Linked DNA regions of Arabidopsis thaliana. The protein of the gene in region 2 interacts with the protein of the main gene of each other region in a pairwise test. Each region holds a gene or a part of one and is shown on either strand. Other genes may lie near its edges.

The links.
Region 1: the proteins of UBC18 (region 2) and AT5G19430 interact in a two-hybrid assay, tested with the Arabidopsis thaliana proteins (one large-scale study listed by BioGRID).
Region 3: the proteins of UBC18 (region 2) and AT1G28120 interact in a two-hybrid assay, tested with the Arabidopsis thaliana proteins (one large-scale study listed by BioGRID).

What each region holds. Positions count from the first base shown.
Region 1 is NC_003076.8:6,550,022-6,556,454, forward strand, and holds AT5G19430 (RING/U-box superfamily protein), read left to right. Parts: upstream 1-3,681; 5' UTR 3,682-3,976; coding exon of another isoform or gene 3,977-4,051; 5' UTR 4,052-4,115; coding exon 4,116-4,193; coding exon of another isoform or gene 4,194-4,221; exon of another isoform or gene 4,222-4,486; coding exon 4,487-4,617; intron 4,618-4,911; coding exon 4,912-5,016; intron 5,017-5,138; coding exon 5,139-5,595; 3' UTR 5,596-5,933; downstream 5,934-6,433. Other genes in the region: AT5G19420 (Regulator of chromosome condensation (RCC1) family with FYVE zinc finger domain-containing protein), read right to left, coding at 1-1,064, 1,136-1,330, 1,452-1,532, 2,024-2,113, 2,263-2,349, 2,532-2,612, 2,774-2,837, 2,932-2,960.
Region 2 is NC_003076.8:17,242,501-17,248,880, forward strand, and holds UBC18 (ubiquitin-conjugating enzyme 18), read right to left. Parts: upstream 3,489-6,380; 5' UTR 3,405-3,488; coding exon 3,375-3,404; intron 3,291-3,374; coding exon 3,187-3,290; intron 3,100-3,186; coding exon 2,997-3,099; intron 2,777-2,996; coding exon 2,713-2,776; intron 1,996-2,712; coding exon 1,907-1,995; intron 1,802-1,906; coding exon 1,706-1,801; 3' UTR 1,487-1,705; downstream 1-1,486. Other genes in the region: TRX3 (thioredoxin 3), read left to right, coding at 272-358, 851-973, 1,072-1,218; AT5G43000 (uncharacterized protein), read right to left, coding at 3,854-4,702; RPT4A (regulatory particle triple-A ATPase 4A), read right to left, coding at 6,063-6,137, 6,222-6,320. UniProt on the Arabidopsis thaliana protein: Accepts the ubiquitin from the E1 complex and catalyzes its covalent attachment to other proteins.
Region 3 is NC_003070.9:9,811,235-9,817,950, forward strand, and holds AT1G28120 (ubiquitin thioesterase otubain-like protein), read right to left. Parts: upstream 4,327-6,716; 5' UTR 4,159-4,326; intron 3,957-4,158; 5' UTR 3,910-3,956; coding exon 3,754-3,909; intron 3,624-3,753; coding exon 3,558-3,623; intron 3,479-3,557; coding exon 3,395-3,478; intron 3,262-3,394; coding exon 3,139-3,261; intron 3,042-3,138; coding exon 2,989-3,041; intron 2,843-2,988; coding exon 2,793-2,842; intron 2,720-2,792; coding exon 2,619-2,719; intron 2,355-2,618; coding exon 2,091-2,354; intron 2,009-2,090; coding exon 1,985-2,008; 3' UTR 1,696-1,984; downstream 1-1,695. UniProt on the Arabidopsis thaliana protein: Hydrolase that can remove conjugated ubiquitin from proteins in vitro and may therefore play an important regulatory role at the level of protein turnover by preventing degradation.

The DNA.
Region 1 (6,433 bases), about 11 Mb from region 2:
AGAGCTGCAACACAGGTAGGCACAAGTTTTGGTTCTTTGTCACCATGACCAAGACGACTCTTGTCACCATCACCCCATGTAAAGAGCTTTCCTGAAGAGCAGTTACTAGAGCTCGAGCTCCCAACCATGACTTCTACAACTGCGGCTGTGTGCCATACACCACAGGCTGCCCGAACAGTGCGAAGACCTTTCAAGGAGTCTACCTCTCTAGGTATGAAAACACTTTTCCTGTCTCCATGGCCCAAAACACCAAAGGTCCCATCACCAAAAGTAAACAACTGCCCAGCGGAAGTCACAACAGCTGTGTGGTAAGGCCCACAAGCGATGGATGATACATGTATCCCTTCCATCAGAAAATTTACTCTTTTGGGGACCCAGTGACTGACTTCATTTCCATGTCCCAGAATACCAAAATCTCCTTTACCCCAGGTATACAAATCCCCCGATAGAGTAACTGCACAACTATGGTATTCACCACATGCTACAAGCTCAATATTTGTGGTATTGAGGGCATCAATGAGCTTTGGATGTTGAACATTGGAATCCACACCATGGCCAAGCCTACCTTCAGATTCCTCTCCCCAAGAAAAACTTTCTCCTTGTTTTGTTACAAGGACAGCATGTTGTCCACCGCAAGCAATATTCTGGACATCAAGTACTATAGTAGACTCTAAAGCTTTTGGCAGTAAGGAATCCATTTTGATCTCCAACGAACTTCCAACTCTGTGGTTTCCACCACCCAAAACACCTTCGCCTATTCCTTCTCCCCACATGAAAACGTCTCCCAATGTGTCTCCATCATCATGACCAGAACCATGGCTCGACGAACTAATCGCACTTGACAGACTAACTCTAAAAGCATCCATACCCATTCCTTTCATGTGACCATGTAGCGTATCTGAGCCTCCAGATGACAAAGAGTGAACTGACATAGTTGCCGAACCTGGGGGGAAAAAACCTTTTGGAGGAACTGCATACAACGACATGTCTGAAAATGCCTTGTCAACGCCATTCTTAGGCGGGCTCTCATATGGACTGTGAAGACGAAGGTGATTTGAGCCCTCCTGAAAGGTAAGAGAAATATTACCTTAGTTAAGTAATGCACAAAATGAATTGGAATATTTCATTCTAGTACCTTCTGGAAACTTTCATTGCTACTAAATGGAGAATGTAAAGGGGAGCTTCTCCGGGTATATGTTCTCGGACTATTAGCTTCGGATGGCGTTCCATCACTTCTCGATTCGGTCCTCCATTTCCGTTGATGACAACGGGATATCAAGGCTTTTAGACCACTAAACCACACTTCAGCCTCATCTTTATCCTTGCATATCTATGAAATGAAATTCTGACACCTAATTAATGAACTTTCAATAATAACAGGCATTTAAATGATGGAATAATGATTTCATAGAGGAAATTAGGAAAAGAATATACTATAAGAAAAAGCTCACCAAATCCAGTGACCTCTCGTCATATATTAGCGAGAACGATTGATATTCCTTCTCAGGACGTGGATATCTCTGAAAAATAGGCTGCAAGAGAAACACCATTGCAAGACTTGTCAGAATATCACACTAGATATGCAAGGTCCAAATATGCAACCTACGACTATGGAAACTGGCTCATGCAAATGATGCATGAAACATGCAAAGTCAAATCAAGATTGACCTGCCACGCTGAAGTGAAATGAAAAAAAATGATGAATCCAATCAAACATAGCATAAGCACGTAATCTTCATTTGAGTTTATGTTGATAAAACGACTCTAAGAAAAGAGCCTTGTGCATAACATACACCACTTGGAAAAATCATAAACAACAATTCAGATCACATTAGGAGGCCATCCTACTCACAATCATGACAGTAGAGCTCAGACACAACCAGAAGAAGATACTCTTATCAGATATCCAACCATATAAACGCATCGAAAAATGGATAATACTAGTCTAACGAACTTATTCTGAACATTTAATAGCCAGCTTAAGGAAAGATTAAATGACATGTCTACGGATGTCAAAACTTACAGTGCGCTGCCCAGAGATGATCCTGGAAACATGACTTAGCTTCAAATGTTTTTCCTCCTTCCCAGAAAACCATATCAAAACAGATTCATCCTGAAAGTTACAGGACAGACTATTTACTTGACACAGAACAACAAGAAGCTGCACACAGCAGGAAGCAGCAGAGAGAAAATATAACGAAACAAAAGGACTCTACAGACTCTTACATAAGAGTAAAAGAAAATGATATCAACACAACTTACATTCGAAAGGCGAAATGGACAGAACTTAGGCTTTCCCCTTCTGCCATACTTAAGCAAATAAGCTCCTTTTTTAAGAGCAGTGATAGCCTGAGCCAATTGATAAAAAAAAATAGTTTCCGTAAATAAAGCAGGTGAAGTATATTGGCAAGGGGTGATTTCAGCTTTAGATACAGCTATATAATAAAACTGAAATGGTCTTAAATAGAGATGAGCAATAACTATATCCTGAGAAATTGCACCTAAAATAGATTAACTGCTAGGAAAAAAACATGAAGTGCATTTTTGTTCTCCAATATATAGCTAGAGTCAAGCTTGGAGACTCCAAAAGTGGAATAGAGCTCAATCTTTAGCTAAAACCAGTCACACTAACCAAGAATCCCAAATCTAATTTTCAAAGTTTAAGCCACGCCTAAGAAAATAACCTTCTCTTAACCTTCCTAACAAAGGATTTGTTCCACAGAAAACCTAACAATTCAGTAGAATTGGAATCATAAACAAGACCAAAAAAAACCTGCTCAATATCCCTCGTCACTGGACCGGCTCTACTAAGATCCGACGGCGTCATTCGTCCGTTCCTCGACATAAACAAAATTCCTCAGTAGCAAACCCCTTGAGCCGAGAAAACCTCAAAAAAAATTCACACTAGTCGTCAAGCTCAAATCAATAGACCTCGTGCAATCACGAAATCCACTCCACATCACATCACTTTGATCGTCGATCTTGGATTCAAATTCGAAGCCAGAGCAGCTTCTTCAGCTCCAATTTAGATTCAAATCGATCCAAACAGTAGAACAAAAAGCGCCGTTTCAATCAAATGTAAAAGGATTCAAATATGTTCTTCTGGATGCTGAATTAAACTCTTCGAGAGGAATTGAAACACAGAGAATCTAGCTAGAGAGACATGGCATGATCTATACTACGCAGCTTAAAGCGAGCGAGCGAGAGAGAAGAAAGAGACCAAAAGGCAGATTCTGACTAGAGAAAGCTATACTTCTTCTTTTTTTCTGCTTTCTATTGATTTTTTAGATATATAAAACCCGTCATTATTCTCCTTAATTACGGGATATACCACTGTACACTCCCAATTAATTTACTCTCCTTAAACATTTTGTATTTCTGTGACTAGTAATGTGGAAGGCTTTTTGCGAATATCTGTTTTTTCAGCAAGCTTTTTTCGAATATTACTTTCGTGTATACATTTGCTCTTTTTTTTTTTTGGTTTAAATTTTTCTAATGATGGGACTTTAAAGAATTTAAATACCTACCACCTAATTAAAGAAGAATGATTCAATAGAAGATGTCATGCAAATTAAATACCACACATAATTATGTTATTTGTAATGGATACTCTATGACTATGATGTAATGTATTTTCTTCAAAAGTTATAAATCTTGACATTTTAAAAATTGCTTTATGATCTGTAACATGTCGTTTTGAGTGTACTGATCTGTCGCAATTCTATAGGACAGGTTAGAACTTCTGGTGGAGGAAGAAGGTTCGGGTTCTGTTTTGTCTCTTGTGTGCTTTGTTGTTAGTTCTTGAGGTATCGGGAATCATTCTCTTAGCATATCTCCTTTTCTCGTCTCGGTGGTTCGCTGTCCCACAGCCACTCTCTCTAATCCGGGCTCCTTAATCTTGACGAACAGATTTCAGAAGAACATCTTCTTTCTTCAACTACCAAATCTTTCGTTTTTTCTATCTAATTTCGCCGCCATGAGTTCCGTTACCGAGATCGTGTCTGAGCAGCAAGTGATCGACGGTATTCAGGATTTGGCCCTTCAAAATCAGGTTCTTTGTTACCCTTATTCAATTCATATTCTCGTCTCTTGATGAAAATTTTCAAATTTTAAATATGTTTGCTTTGTGTGTCGGTCTTGTTTCGGAGTTGGAGCTGATTCTGTCCATGATGCTTCTGCTTCTATGTGGAAATGTATCTAGCCTTGCTCCACAATATTAGGGTTTCGTAAATTTTTGATTTTGTGCGTTATTATGTGTTTAATTTCGAATTGGACGATTAGGGCTCTTCAGGTTTACAATGTGAAGTTGACTGTTGCTGAATTTGCTACTGATATTGTTTATGAATCTGCTTTCTTTTTCTCTTCATAACTTTCACAGAACTTAGGTCTCTTGTTCTTACATCTAAACATAACTCTTTAAGATGATGTTGTGTGTTCTCTGCATGTGGAGGTGATTTAAGAGATTTTATCTGAACCTCTCTCTCAGGACAAAAAGAAGATCCAGGAAGAGATCCATGAGCCGAGTTTCGGGAATCATGGTGGCTGTTGTGCAATATGTTTGAGTGAAATTCCTCTTCAAGAAACTGCTATGGTCAAAGGCTGTGAACACACTTACTGGTAATACTGTTGTTTCTTCTCTTTGTTTCTTTTAGATGATATATATCTGATTTGGTTACATCTATATTTTATTAGTTACAAAGTTTAGTCTGTACTGTAGTATGAACATATTGATTTCGTCAAATGAATTTTGTTTTCTTCTCACAAGTTTTCAGTTGTGGAACTTGGTTTTAGGTTTAACCTGTAAACTCGTGATCACCTTTTATCTTCTGTGTTTGCTTTTATGCCTACGTGGTAACTGACTTTCTTTCTACTTTGGGTTTTAAGAGGAGTAATTCATTTCTATCTATTTAGTGTGACATGCATACTTCGTTGGGCGAGTTGCAAAGAGAGTCCCACATGCCCACAATGTAAGCATCCATTTGATTTTCTCAGTGTCCACCGAGCACTTGATGGCAGGTGACTTCCCTTCTTTATTTACAATTTTGTGTATATATTAGTCGATTACTCCATTTGCTTGATCAAACTCTTTTTCTTATTCTTGTTTGGTTGTATAAATTCTCTTTTGTATTTCTATGCAGCATTGAAGATTTTCTGTTTGAGGAGAGTGTGTGCCTTCTCCTTAGAGCCTCATGGTTTGTACCATTGGATGTGGTGGAACAGGCGTCGTACAGCCATGGTTACCATGATGATTTTGACATTCCTTATGACTACGAGGATGAAGATGATGACCTTGACGAGTTTTATCTGCACGGCTCAAGTCTTCGCATAGGAAATCGGAGATGGGGTGGCAATGGTTTTGTCAGATCCGGGCGTCAAGAAGCCAGGCCTGTCCAGAGATACAGTGGTTCTGGTTCTAGTTCCAGTTCCAGCTCTGGGTCATCCTCAAGTGAGCCTAAGGATAAGCAGGTGAAGACGACAAACACAACAGGAAGACGTGCAAAAAGGGCAATGAAGCGTGAAGCTGCAAACAAAGCAGCGGAAGTAACTGCAGCAGCAAAGCACGAGGCCCATTTGGTTAGGTTGGGAAGGAAGTGAGTGTGTATCTGTAAATAAATTGCACTCAAAAAGCTTCCACCTACTTCCATTACTTAGTATCATCTGTACAGCAAGTAGTTTTTAATGTTGTGATTAATCCCTGTCAGACCACTATATAATGGTGTGGGGTTTGGAATGGTAGAAACAAGAAGTTGTGACTCATTGTCTCATACAATACTTGGACAACCATTGGCTATCATATTACTCTGTTCATTAAATCTTGTTATGTTTCTAATCATTGATCAGATGAGAAAGTAGTGTAGCTTTTGATTTTCTTGGTGTGAATACTGAATATGTAAAAATATGTCTAGATGAAGAAGAAAGACAACTTCTTTTTATGGATTCGTTGTCTGAGTTGGTCGGTGAGCTTTGGATACTAAGTTTGCCCAACTTTATGGCACAACAAGGGGTAGATCCAATGCAAGTTACAAAAATACGAAACCTATAGTATTCATATTTGCCAAAATCAAAGTCTTTTTATACATTCTTTTTTCATGATAGCATATGGTATAAATTCTATTTAAAAAATGTTGTTGTAAAACAATTTCTAAATTTTGCTTTATTGTTGTAAAATTTTCGGCCAAACTACGCAAATATTATATTAGAGGATTTTGGATATATGATTTTATCTTTTGAAGTATTATAATGTTCTTTTCTGTTTTAAAATGAATTGACTATTGAGTTTGAAGTGAAATTGGAATTGACTACTCAACAACGTGTGTCTCTTTTCCACCTAACCATTGTGCAAACCACGCAAAAGGAAAAATATCAAAAAAGTCTTTAAAGAGGGCAAAGAAATCACCCAAATATACGCATTCGTCATTTGGTCCCTCCACTT
Region 2 (6,380 bases):
GCAATTCTTCAATCTCAACCGTTAGATCAACAAATCCGGCATCGAATTCCTCCGCGTGGTTTGGTCCATTTTTTTAATTTGAGTATTAATTCTTTTCCTATTTGACAACATGTTTTATTAATTATTATTATTATTCCATTTGCATTAAAATATAATAAAAAGATGTAAGATTCTCTCCGCCTCCTTCTCTCTATAAGAACCGACACAGAGACGAAGAAGAATAATCACTCGAAAACTCATCAAATCAAAAATCAAACACAGAGAAGAGAAAATGGCCGCAGAAGGAGAAGTTATCGCTTGCCACACCGTTGAAGATTGGACCGAGAAGCTCAAAGCCGCCAACGAATCCAAGAAACTGGTAAAAACTCTCGATCTAAGGTTTTAAATGTTTCTTTCTGATTGATTTCGCTGCTTTATCGTTTCTGATCTTGGTCCTTTTGATTAGAATATGACGGATTCAGAATTAGGTTTGAATTGTCCCCAATCGAATTTTTGAGCTCCTTAATGTCAAATTTATGAACCCTAATAGTTTAATTGATTGTTTAGGAACCCAGAATCTCAGAAATTGAAACCCTAAGAACTTGATAGAAGCATCATTGGATAAAAACATGTTATGTGAATCTCTCAACTATGCATATTCAATTTTATGAATCATCTGCTAGAGATCACATGAAAATTGTCTTTAGTGAACCCATTTTGTATCTATGTTTGTATTATTATCCATGTTCTGTGAAGCACATGAAATGCATACATTTGTTATCTTAATGATGAACCGATGTCGTATCTATTGTTTGAATTATCGATCGGTGTAGCTTGTTTTCTTAAATATGGTTGTGTGGAAATGACACAGATTGTGATAGACTTCACTGCAACATGGTGCCCACCTTGCCGTTTCATTGCACCCGTCTTTGCTGACTTAGCCAAGAAGCACCTCGACGTAGTCTTCTTCAAGGTCGATGTTGACGAATTGAACGTGAGTTTCCTTCATCAATCTTACACTATCCCAATATCCAAACTTAGGGATTTTTGACTTCTCTGAGCCTTTATCTTGCTTGTTATGTTGTTGTGCAGACTGTTGCTGAGGAGTTTAAAGTTCAGGCAATGCCAACGTTTATCTTCATGAAAGAAGGAGAGATCAAGGAGACTGTGGTTGGTGCTGCTAAAGAAGAAATCATTGCCAATCTCGAGAAGCACAAGACAGTTGTTGCTGCTGCTTGATTTGCTTTTCTCTCTTACCTATTTTGCTAAAATATGTTTGGTGTTTTAATAAATCCTTTGTTCGCCCGAGTCTTTTCACCTTAAATGTGCTCTTATGTGTGGTGGTGAATAAATGTTGTTGCAAACTTGATTACTCGCAGCTATGCTAATTGTTCGTTCATGGTTATGTTTACTCTTTGGGGATTCTATTGTTATGTTAGTTTTTCAATTTTCAATTACATTACACCAACTAGTTATCAATCCAATTACATTGCCAAATACAATTTCGTTTTGCCTAAACTCTCCATGGTTTTTCACTTCAGAAAGGACAAAAGCACAAGGTGTTAATTCAGACACTGAAACATTTCAGATGTCATTTATACATAATGATCCGTTACAGAAAAAAAAGTGGGAGGCCATGAGGAATTTCAATTAGTATTATCAGTCTTGGGAAATTATATAAACCTCTTTTGTAACTGAAAGGAGAGACATCTTACGGTCGTCATCATTAAACCTTGTCGTCATGGAACCACCACCTTGTCTCTTTAGGAGACCTCCCGTTCTTGCAGTTCTTCACATATCGATCGTTATCAGTCGGGCGTTGCTGATATTGTCATCGACAATAAGACATAGTAAGAGTTGTGTGGCAGGGTCAAAAAGTTTGAATTTGTGACAACAATACAAAGTGTGAGAGATCAAATGTAGAAACCTTTTCGGGGGAACTTGATAGCATTGAGAGGATGCTGATGCAGACTGAACTCACTGTCATTGCTGGAGACCATGAGTCATACAGAATATCTACAAAAAGGAATTAGAGAGTGTGTTATATTAAGCGCATAATCCTAATGGACTTTCTCCTAAAATGAGGCCGGGTATAATCGTGATTATGTATTGTAACAAATGGTTCAGTTCCACCACGATTTCATTAGACCGGATTTAGATGCATTGAGAACAGATTTAAGAAATTTACATAAAACTTTCATGTTCTTATTGTTTAGTGAAAACAGCAAAACTAAAATGTGTTATTTGATTTTAACTCAAATGGGAGTTTCAAGTTATTTGATCAACATTCCAAAGGGAGTTTCAATATAACTAGAAATTGAGAGGCTGTTATAATCATGGATCAGATTCTGATTTTGCTAAAGAATTCACCATAGAGTCCAAAAGGGACGGTATTGGTTTTCTTTATGGCGTTGATAACACATTCACACCTAATTTCATGTCATGCGACGCTAGTATTAGGAACTCTTTAAGAATGAGACAGACTGAGAAAAAGGTTAAGACTGGTAACAATGTTGATATAATATATTAGGACTCTTAAGGGTATTGTTACTAACATTGCTTCTCTTTTCGCTACATTACATTCCGTGAACAAGAACAACCTATATATGTAAGTATCAAACAGATAAACTAATTTGATTGACACACACATGACTTGAGCTAGCATTTCAGAGAAACCAAAAAGTAAGAGCAAATGCAAAGAGTAAGTAGTGTAGAAACAATGAGTAAAATTACCTAAACAAATATGTCCATTGCTGTAAATATGAGGATGTAACGGTGCTGGTGGAACAAAAATCACCTGATCAAAAACCAAACACATGAAAATCAGAACACAGCACAAAACCAAGTAGAGAAAATGTCACTATATCTCAAACTAATTCTCTGACCTAAAACATGCAATACAACCATAAAAACACTCTGGTTTCAGTTAATTAATCCACAATTAAGAAATTTGAAATAAACCCTTAATCAAAAACAACAAATTTTTCAGAACAAAACCAACACAATGAAAAACTTGCCTGAGGAGCTTCCATAGGATAATGTTGAGGAAACTCAACCTGAAGATTATAAGTTTCATTAGCGTAAAGCGTACCAGGTGCTCCTGTTACCTCAATTACCCATCTTTAAATCACACAAAAACAAAAAAAACAATCAAAAATCGAAATGATAAATAATCAAAAAAAGGAAAGATTTTGAAATGAAAATTACTTTTGAAGATTATCAGTAACTCTGTGCTTAAACCCAGTCGGTGGATTTACTTGCCACTCTGATAACTCCTTTTGTAACCTATTACACGCGATCTTGCTTAACGCCTACACAAATCTCAAAAATTCAAAAAATCACAATCGGAGAATCAAAAAACACATAAGAAGACAAGAGTGAGAGAATCTAAGAACCTTGCGTGAAGGAGATGAAGAGCTTGTCATGGCGGAGACAAAGAGAGAGAGAGAGAGAGACGAAGACAGAGAGGTCTTGCTTAAGCTTTTGTCTGGATCTTTCTTCTTCTACTCGAATATTATTATTATTGAAAATGAAATCAAAAAGTGTAAACAAAAGGAAATAAAAATATTTTTCGGGGTGAGGAAAGGGCACACGTGAAAGAGTCAAAATTACAAAATTAACCATTTTCATCGGACGGCTATTAATCTTCCTTCGTGTTCACACGTGTCGTTTATCCTTCACTGACTCCACGGGACATTGAAGAGTCGATTTTATTTATAGATTTTTTTTTGTAACAAAGATTCTCTTACATTGTAGCTACCAAAGTCGTACGATCATAAGTACATAAGTTTTTAAGACAAAGTACATTACATTAAACATACGTCTCCATCTATATAATGTTTCAGCTTTCATTCTATAGTAGGCTTCTAATAGTTTATGGGTCATCATTTGGCCCAACATGAATAGCCACTTCTTGCTCTAGCTCAATACCATCTAGTGGGTCTTGAAGAGGCTCAACGTGAACTACCGTTTCTTGTTGTAGGTCAATACCATCTAATGGACATTGATGAGGTGCAATAATACAATCTTGTGACTCTTGATCTAGCACAATATCATCTTGAAGGTTTTGGTCTTTTCCATCTGATGGGTCATTAAGAGCCCCGATACAGTTTTGTGACTCTTGGTCCGGTCCAAGAACCCGATTGGTTTCTTGTGGGACGAGTTCTTGCTCTAGCTCAATACCATCTAGTGGCTCTTGAAGAGGCTCAACATGAACAACCATTCCTTGTTCAAGCTCAATACCATTTAATGGACCATTAAGAGGCTCAATAGAATTTCCAGACTCTTGATCCGGTCCAAGAACTCGATAGGCTTCTTGTGGGACGAGTTCGAGTCCGGCTGCGAAAAGCGGGAGCAAGACTAGATAATGTTTATGAGAAACGTAAGAGATCGTGGAACCGATGACGTGGACAATGCATAACATCAAAAGATATGCGTTTAATGTGTGCCAATAGAGGCTCCCATCGTTTGTGTAAAGCCAAAACACTCGGCCGCATCTTTGTATTTTCACTTCTTCCTCGATCAAACTTTGGATAAGATCGAGCAAAGTGAAGATTAATGTGTCGCAAGCACATACGATACCGAATATTTTGGCTAGATCTTTCTCCTTGTCGAGTAATTCTAAGACGAAGCAAAGAAACTCAACGAGGAATGCAATAGCAGAATGTGGTCGTAGACTTTGCCTAAAAACAACGAGTTTAATGACGGGAGTTAGGATCGCCATTTTCAAAATTATTACTATGTGATTAGAAAGCTCAAAATATACTATGGTATGAGGAGCTTTGAGTGAAGAACTTCGTACGGGGTGCTTTTTATAAAGACATGAAGTGGTTATTAATGAATGATTAGGGAGACAAAAGTCAAAAGTTAAGCTTGGAAAATTCCGTGCTAATCATAAAGATCTTCACTTTTCATTGCATAGGGAATCAAATAAACGTTTTAATATTTTTATGTTTGAGATCATTGCAAGTAAACTCTAGAGTAATAGATCAACTCTCTAATCATTTTAAGTGTATGATACAACGAATCCTAGCTGTTTGATGATTTACGACGTTCATGATTTCGGCATGTTAATTTTCTTTTTGAAAAAGTTGTCCTAGCTAATTTAATCCTAATCTTATTTTTATTTTTTTACGGTAATTCTATTCTTATTGCGCTAGAAAAAAATCGAAAATATCATTACTTAATTAATTTTATGTTTTTATAATAAAGGTACATCATGAGTGAGACAATTTTTTTTCCTAAAGTTAGTATATATAAAAGTTTGCAAATTGTTTTTATTTATAAAATATTTATATTTTATAGTTTACAATTGTTATTAAGTAAGATACCGTCAAACACGTCCCACTCAAAAATTATTTTATTAATGTTGATCTTATTTATGATATGATTTTGAATCATCCCCTAAACATGTTAGCTTTTTTTTTTCTTTTTCTTGTCATCAGATTTAAACATTTTAGCTTAAATCCATATATTTTTCGTTTATCAATTAATATATGTCCGTTTTCAAAATTTCGAATCACAATATATGTAGAAAAAAAAGTTTTTTCTTAACTTTATATACTATATGATGGTTTAAAACAGTTAAAACAAAATCAAACAAAAATGATAAGAGATTCAAAGTTTTAAATCTTAACCAAATCTTATGAATATTTATATTGTTAAATACAGAAGTATCCAGTGTAAAAGTCCGATTTTATTTGAACTGATCCAAGTAAGATTTAATGAACAAAATATATTAACGTGTACTATAGAGATGTTTAAGAAATTTTTGTTTGTTTCATACTATTTGACTGAAATAATTGGTTCAGTTGATGTTTGCAATTCTTTTGATTTGGACTAATTGATGTTAATCAGGGTCCAGAAGCAACAATATTTAAGCCACAGTACCAACGAGAAAAGAGGTAAATGCTTGTTTGAAGCACTAAATTACTGAAACGTAGTAACTAAGCACACACTTCACAACAAGCTTTGCTTTTGAAAGAGTTAAAAAAACAAGTTTCACATTGCTAATAAAGAATACGAGACAGTCATTGCAATGTCCTTTCTTCATCCCTAAAGCACAAGAAAGAGTGTGTACTCTCTCACTCTTTTCCAAAATCAGCGTTATAGTGCGAACTGGACTCCAGTTTCTTGGCCTCACTCAGCTTTCTCACCGCCTGCAAAAAGTTGGTTCATTTCCATATCACAACCAAGATTACAACATGATTTAACCTATTCTCATGCATAATATATATGCATACCTTCATGAAATCTTCATGGATCACATAATCCCGCTCTGCTCGGATTGCAAACATTCCAGCTTCCGTGCATATGTTACGCAGATCAGCACCATTGAATCCCTTTTTTTGGACCAAGGAAACATTTGGTGAGAAACTTACATATGAAAAGCAACATTCACT
Region 3 (6,716 bases), on a different chromosome or scaffold from region 2:
TAGAAAATATTGGTTTCTGTTTTCAAAAATATTATGTAAGAGGAAGAGAAAGATAGAGGGGTAGGTCAAAAGGAAAAAAAAGGCTTTGAATTTTTAATGTAACATTGAAACGGTAACAAGTGTATGTGTCTTTTTTGTATGGTAGTAGTGTTGGGAATTGTTAAATCGAAGAGAGAACATGCATGCATATGAATAAAAATAACAAAAATAGTTAATAATTTAGTGTGTTTGTTAGAGATGATTAATCGGCCCTCTAAGCCATCTAAGTGCATCTCATGTCAACCTTTCTTTCATATGGCGTGTGACTTTGACCCTTTTTATAACTACTAGTTTCGGTCTTCTTGGATTCAAGTTCCCTTTGAATAGTTCAGTTAAAGGAACTATAGTGCCAAGTTTGATTTTGATTTCATTTGGATATACATGGATTCTCTTCGTTACGTGACAAGCTTCCAAAGAAGAAAGTGACAAACAATAAAGGACGTATACATACACTATGCCCTCTGATTCTCTACAGTATAGTCTTTAGATGGTTGTGACAAAAAGGAAAATAAATACGGATTGACACTAACACTTAGAGCATGTCCATTGCAGGGACCTTACAAGTTTCTTAAGAGAATCCTAATGAAAAGAAGCAAAAAAATAAATCAAAATTGACTAATTAACCAAGGTGCGAACCTTGAATAAGGTATTTTTGGGTGAGTAAGGTTCGCTGACGTGGCACTATATCATTGGAGGACCAATAAAACAAAACAAGTTTTTTTCCTTTTTTCTTTCTCTCCTCTCTCTTGGTTTCGTATAGAGTTTCTGAGCTTTGGTTTATGTTCAAATTTGTGTTTGATCTGTTGGTTTTTAAGATAAAAATGTGACCCTTTTGCTGCTTATTCACTTCTCATTAGCATTACAACGGATTGGTGACACAAAATAATTGGTTCTAGGTTTATGTTTATGCTCTTTTGTTTGCTCATTTAGTTGATGTTATCAAATAATTGGTTCTAGGTACGTGCTTTCATTTAAGTTCATGACAGTGTCTTGAGCTGGAGATAGATTATTCTATGTTCTTCCTTTGGTGACAATTTCATTAATAGACCTCTCATCTCGGACTTTAGTTTCCTCTTGGAAGCCTTTTGATTTGTATTCTTTTTTTCTTTTTTTTTGCTTTTATGTCATCATATATGTTTACAATTTGTAATATTTTCTAATAACTTTTAAGTTTTATCAAATAAATTATTTTAAAAATATTTTTGCTTTTTAAAGAAATTTTCATAAGGACTCCACCATTGGATAACAAAAAATTTAGAGACTCAACAAAAACTCTAAACTTTAAAATTACCAAAATATATTATTAAAAAATGTTAAGGATTTTTTATAAGGATTCAATCAATGGGCATGCTCTTATCTTTTGGTTTCTTCTTGTTACATCGTTTTTGGGGGTTCCAAATATTTACAAGACTTAATATAATCCATTTAGACTGCTCAAAACCACTATCCACCATGAGCCAACTCGTGTAGCCCGCATTATTTTAGCATCAACATTTGTAGCCTTAACTCGTCTCATGGTAGGGTAATTTATGCCCAATCCACGGGTTCTCGACCCAATCGACACTCAAAAATAATAGTCCAAAGGGTTTGCATTTCTTTGTCGTCACTTTTCTATATTTTAAAAAAATATTCAAGTTTAAGATTTTAGTCAGGCCATTAAAACAAACTTAGAACTCTGCCATTGGTAATATCGAAAACCCTTTGATTCCACTTGCTCATCAGAAATATCATAAAGGATATTATCATGATTCATGAAAAATACAAGGCAATATCAAAGTAAAGAGACGGTCCATTCTATAGTGTTGCAAAAAGGGTTCTTTTATCATAATCAAAATGCAAATCGATGGGGTAATTGTTGATTGTTCCATGGTTTCATCCACATGAATCCATATTACCACAGTTTTTTGTAAACGTCTCCTAATGCGATTTACGATATGTCAAATGATCATTTCCCCACATTGTCTGATACCTGTAACAACACAATCATTAAATTTAATCCACGTCGAATCTAAAAGGAAGAGAGGTCATATGGCGATTTCGTGTTTATATACCTTACAAGATGGCTTGGGGTAGAGGATATCGTAATGGCCTGGACGATACAGCAAGGTTATAAATGGAGCAGAAGCTTCTTCATCTTTCTCATTGGTAATGCCCACAGGAACAAAGTCATGATGATTCACAGTGACGCCCCCACTATCACATGAGCTACGGTCAAGATACACAACACGGATTGCAACACCAAGTGCGTCCGACAAAGCAGTTATGTGAATATGGTCACTCTCTTCCCCCATTGGTTCGACCGAGGACTTGCAAAACTATAACAATGTAGTGTTAATATCTTGCATTCACCTATGCTCTAATAATCTATGAGGAGGTATTCAGAACTTTCAACAGAATCTTTAGTTTAAACATAAGTGCAAGAGACTTAACGTCTCACAACGCTGACTAATCAGAGATAAAGCAAGCAAGTTTGGAAGGACATTAAAATTGACAGAGATATCACAGAGACGGAAAAATAAAATTTCAAACATATCACCAAATGGCCTGAATTCCAAAACAGAGTAAGCGTGTGTACAAACCTGATCCACTGTTGCATTTGATAAGCCTGTTATAAAAGGCTCGAAAAAATCGGCACGCGTTCGTATATCACCAGCAGTAACAAACCTAAAGAACATTACAACTGAGACAACAAAAATTTGTCAAAACTATGTACCATTGGATATGCATCGCCAGAGAAAATTAGAGTAACTTACTGTAATCTGAGACTGACTGATCTCTACTTCTGTTAACCAGCTCATCGTAGCTGTAAGAGAAAGATATTTGCAAAAAGGATGAGATACAACGAGAAGAGACTTGTGCCATTTCATGAAAGTCAGAACTTATCCACACGAAAACAGAAATCAAAATTAAATGCCAATTAAAAAGCCATCTGGATAAACAGTTCTCTACCTTATAGACTCTTCAGTTCCTTGGAGAATGTCATCTAGTTGCTCAAGGAACAACTGTATTTTCAAGAAAGATGAAATTGAGTATTGGTGGTGATCTTACCAGATTTAAAAAGCAGACACAATAGAAAACAGAAAAAGGTGGTCGATTTACCGCAAAGAAGTCCTCAAATGTAAAATCTGTATAACCTAAGTTTTGCAGAGTCTTTCTACATTTCTCAACATTGACCTTGATACGATCGACTTCAGCACGATCTTGTGATTCCAATATATGCTCCTACGAAACAAAGCAGAGAAAACAACAGCAACTTTAACTAAAGATACAATCCACGTCTAACCAAAATAACAAAGTTCAAAACCAACTACACAAACAAGAGCTAGGCAAAATAGAAGACATTCTGAGAACATACAAGGTAAGAGAACATAAAACTTCGGAAGAAGCAATTTCCATCTCCTCTTGTTCGCCGGATTCCGATATATTGACTGTCCAGTATCTACAAGCATTGCAAACATGATAATTCAAAAAGACTGAAAGCAACAAACCACGAAAAAGATAACAGAGCAGAAAGTAACCTTAATCTTCTCCAGCAAAATGGGACTCCCTGATTGATACTCTGCAGCTAAACTAGACAGAGGTTCCTGCACATCATTGAACCAAAACAATCAACCTTTTTAACTTCTTTCGATAAATAAACAGAGCAAGATAACACGTAGAAGCCAAAAAACGAATAATATGAAACAGAAGATCAATTTTAATATTGGCTCTGACCTTATCACCAACATAAGGAACTTTAGCAGCTTCTTCTTCTTGAAAAGATGGTTGATCTTCCACTGATGAACAATTTCCCCATTCTTCACCCTTAATTGCTGAAATCGATGCAGCTACTTCCGCTTCATCCTTCACCATATCAATCTGATTCTGCATCTTCACTACTTCACTAAACTCTCTTCCTAGCTTATTATTAGCTTGATCTACAAACACACAATTCAAATCCGATTTGAAACAAACGACTCAAGATTCTATCAACTGATCCTCAATTCAACGATAATTCAATCTGAATACTGATAACGAGTTTGTTGATCAACAATTCACAAATCTGACAATCAAACAAATACGAATCCAAGAATCTTAAGATAAGGAGAGAAACGGGGAAATCGATGGCGGAGGATTTACCAGAAACGAAGATCGATTGAAGAAAAGATTGGATTGTGAATAATTGAGATCGTTTGCGACCTAAATTGAAGCAGGTTGGGACTTGGGAACCAACACTAAGCAATGGGGAAGGAGGAAGAGTGATGATGATGAAAAAGATTTCTCAAATCGGGGAAACCATCAATTTTGATTGGAGGGGTATAAATGGTAAGATACGTTTCGCTTTTTCCCAAAGTACTTAATTTTTTATATTTAATTTTTTATTTTTCTCTACACGAATCAGGAAAAAAGTCGAATCGTTTTTGGACCATAAAAAGTTAAAATGACGGTAGAGCTTAAAATGGGCCTAAATATTTTGGCCCAACAATAATCTGAACTTTGCTTAGTCACTAGAGTTTTGTTTTCTTTTTCTTTACAAACTGACCATAAACAAAGTGAATCAAAACTACCTAATTTATTAAGATAAACGATTTGTTTGTTTATCAAAACTACGTAATTTATCAAGATAAACAATAAACAAAGGAGATGACAAAAAAAAAAAAAAAATTAACAAAGGAAGTTTACCAAAAAGTATTTCAATAGTAAAAAATGATTTTAAAACAAAATAAAAATTGACAAATAAAAACATTAACTAATTAAACACTTCAAATTTTAGAAAGAGATCCATCAAGCCAAGAGTACAAATATTTGTCTTAAAATAAGAAGTCGAAAGAGTTGAATAACCATTCATATTATTTTTTAATATTTGAGATAAATAAGTTGGAAAACTCATTCAACACATTTAACCAAAAACAATACAAAAAATAATATATATATATATAGAAAATTTGTTCAACTTATCCTACTATATTATTTGGGAAGTACATTTTAAATGTAACCTTAACTTTTATAAGTAATTACATAGGTATGCCATTAGAAATAAAATTTTAAAGAGTAAATTAATTTATCTCTTTAAGGATTAAAAAGTCAAATACTAATTTAATTAATTAAATTTAATTAAAAAACGAAATATATTATTATTTTCCAAAAATAATAACCAATCAAAATCAACATATAAGATTTGATATCTAAATTTTAATTAATTTAATTTAATTAGAAAAACGAAATACATTATTAATTTCCAAAAAAGTAACCAATTAAAATCAACAAATTAGATTTGATATCTAAATTATCATATTAATTTTTTATTAATTATTATAGTTCACTTCTCATCTTTATATGATTCTATTTTTGCCGAAAAATAATATCATCATTATAAAAAAATAATTAGAGTTTTTTCGCATATGCCATATTTTGAATTTTTAAAAACGAATATAAACTATTCAATACATGAAAAAATATTATAACGGAAGAAAAATAGATTTAAGAAAACTTTCTACTGAGTAACGGATCATAATTTGAAATATTTCTATTCAATTTCACACATATTATAATGAAAATTTATAATCTTATATACTACAGTAATTAATAACATATTAGATGTGATTCAATTTTTAATACAAGCTGAAAAATCCTAGAATTGACGGGTTTAGATCGATATTAATACAAGATGATATACTACATGTGAAACTCTTAAATTAACAATCAAACTACAAGTGTATAATCTTAAACACTAAACAATATAGATAATATCAACAAAATATATACAACTCACAGATTACTATACATTTAAAATCAAATAAAATAATATCATATATATTTAAATCATCTTTACAATAAAAGTTTTTAGTTTAACTAAAGTATAAGCCTACCTGCGGTATACTGCAGGTTAATAACTAGATTATAGGGCTTATTGGATCTAAAGACGGGTCATCAAAGATTTCCTAAACTGAAGCAAAATATACTGAATATTCAAATATCTATCTGTTACCAAATTATAAACAAATAAGTTCGTAAAACAATTTAATATTTTATATACGAAATCAATTAAATCTTAATCACATAAAAATTAGCACAAAAAAAAGTATTCAATAATTAAAAAATTATCAAATCTCTGTGTTATATAAGTTTTGATACTATATTCGAATAAAGTGTAATATACCTTTTCAATTTGTATTATTTAACTAATTTAAGCTAACTAATATAGTTGCTAATCTTATACCTATCAAAACCGACTATCGTTTCTTATCTCTATAGTATTTTTGCAAGATTTTTTTGGTGGATTTGGATAAAAGTGCATTCGGGTCATATGGTACAGTCTCCTATTAAATAAATATGGTGCACTCATTTGTTATTAGCTAAAATATTTAGATTATAATTCAGAGTCATATCATTAATAAAATAAATGGCTTTTTGGCAAGACGGATTTGGATGGACGGGTTTTTGAATCAACATTAATAAAAAAGTAAAATATAATTAATCCACAATTTCAATACGGATTAAATCTTTAATTTATTATATTTTAAGACCACTAATATTAAACATATCAAATCATCCTAATTTAGAAAAGGTTATATAAAACCAAAAATGTTATGTGGTATGTATAATGTTATTATATATAAAATTAAACTATAAAATATAAATGTATTAGAAAATGATACAATTTGCAAAACTTTTATATATAAAAAATAATTCTTAAA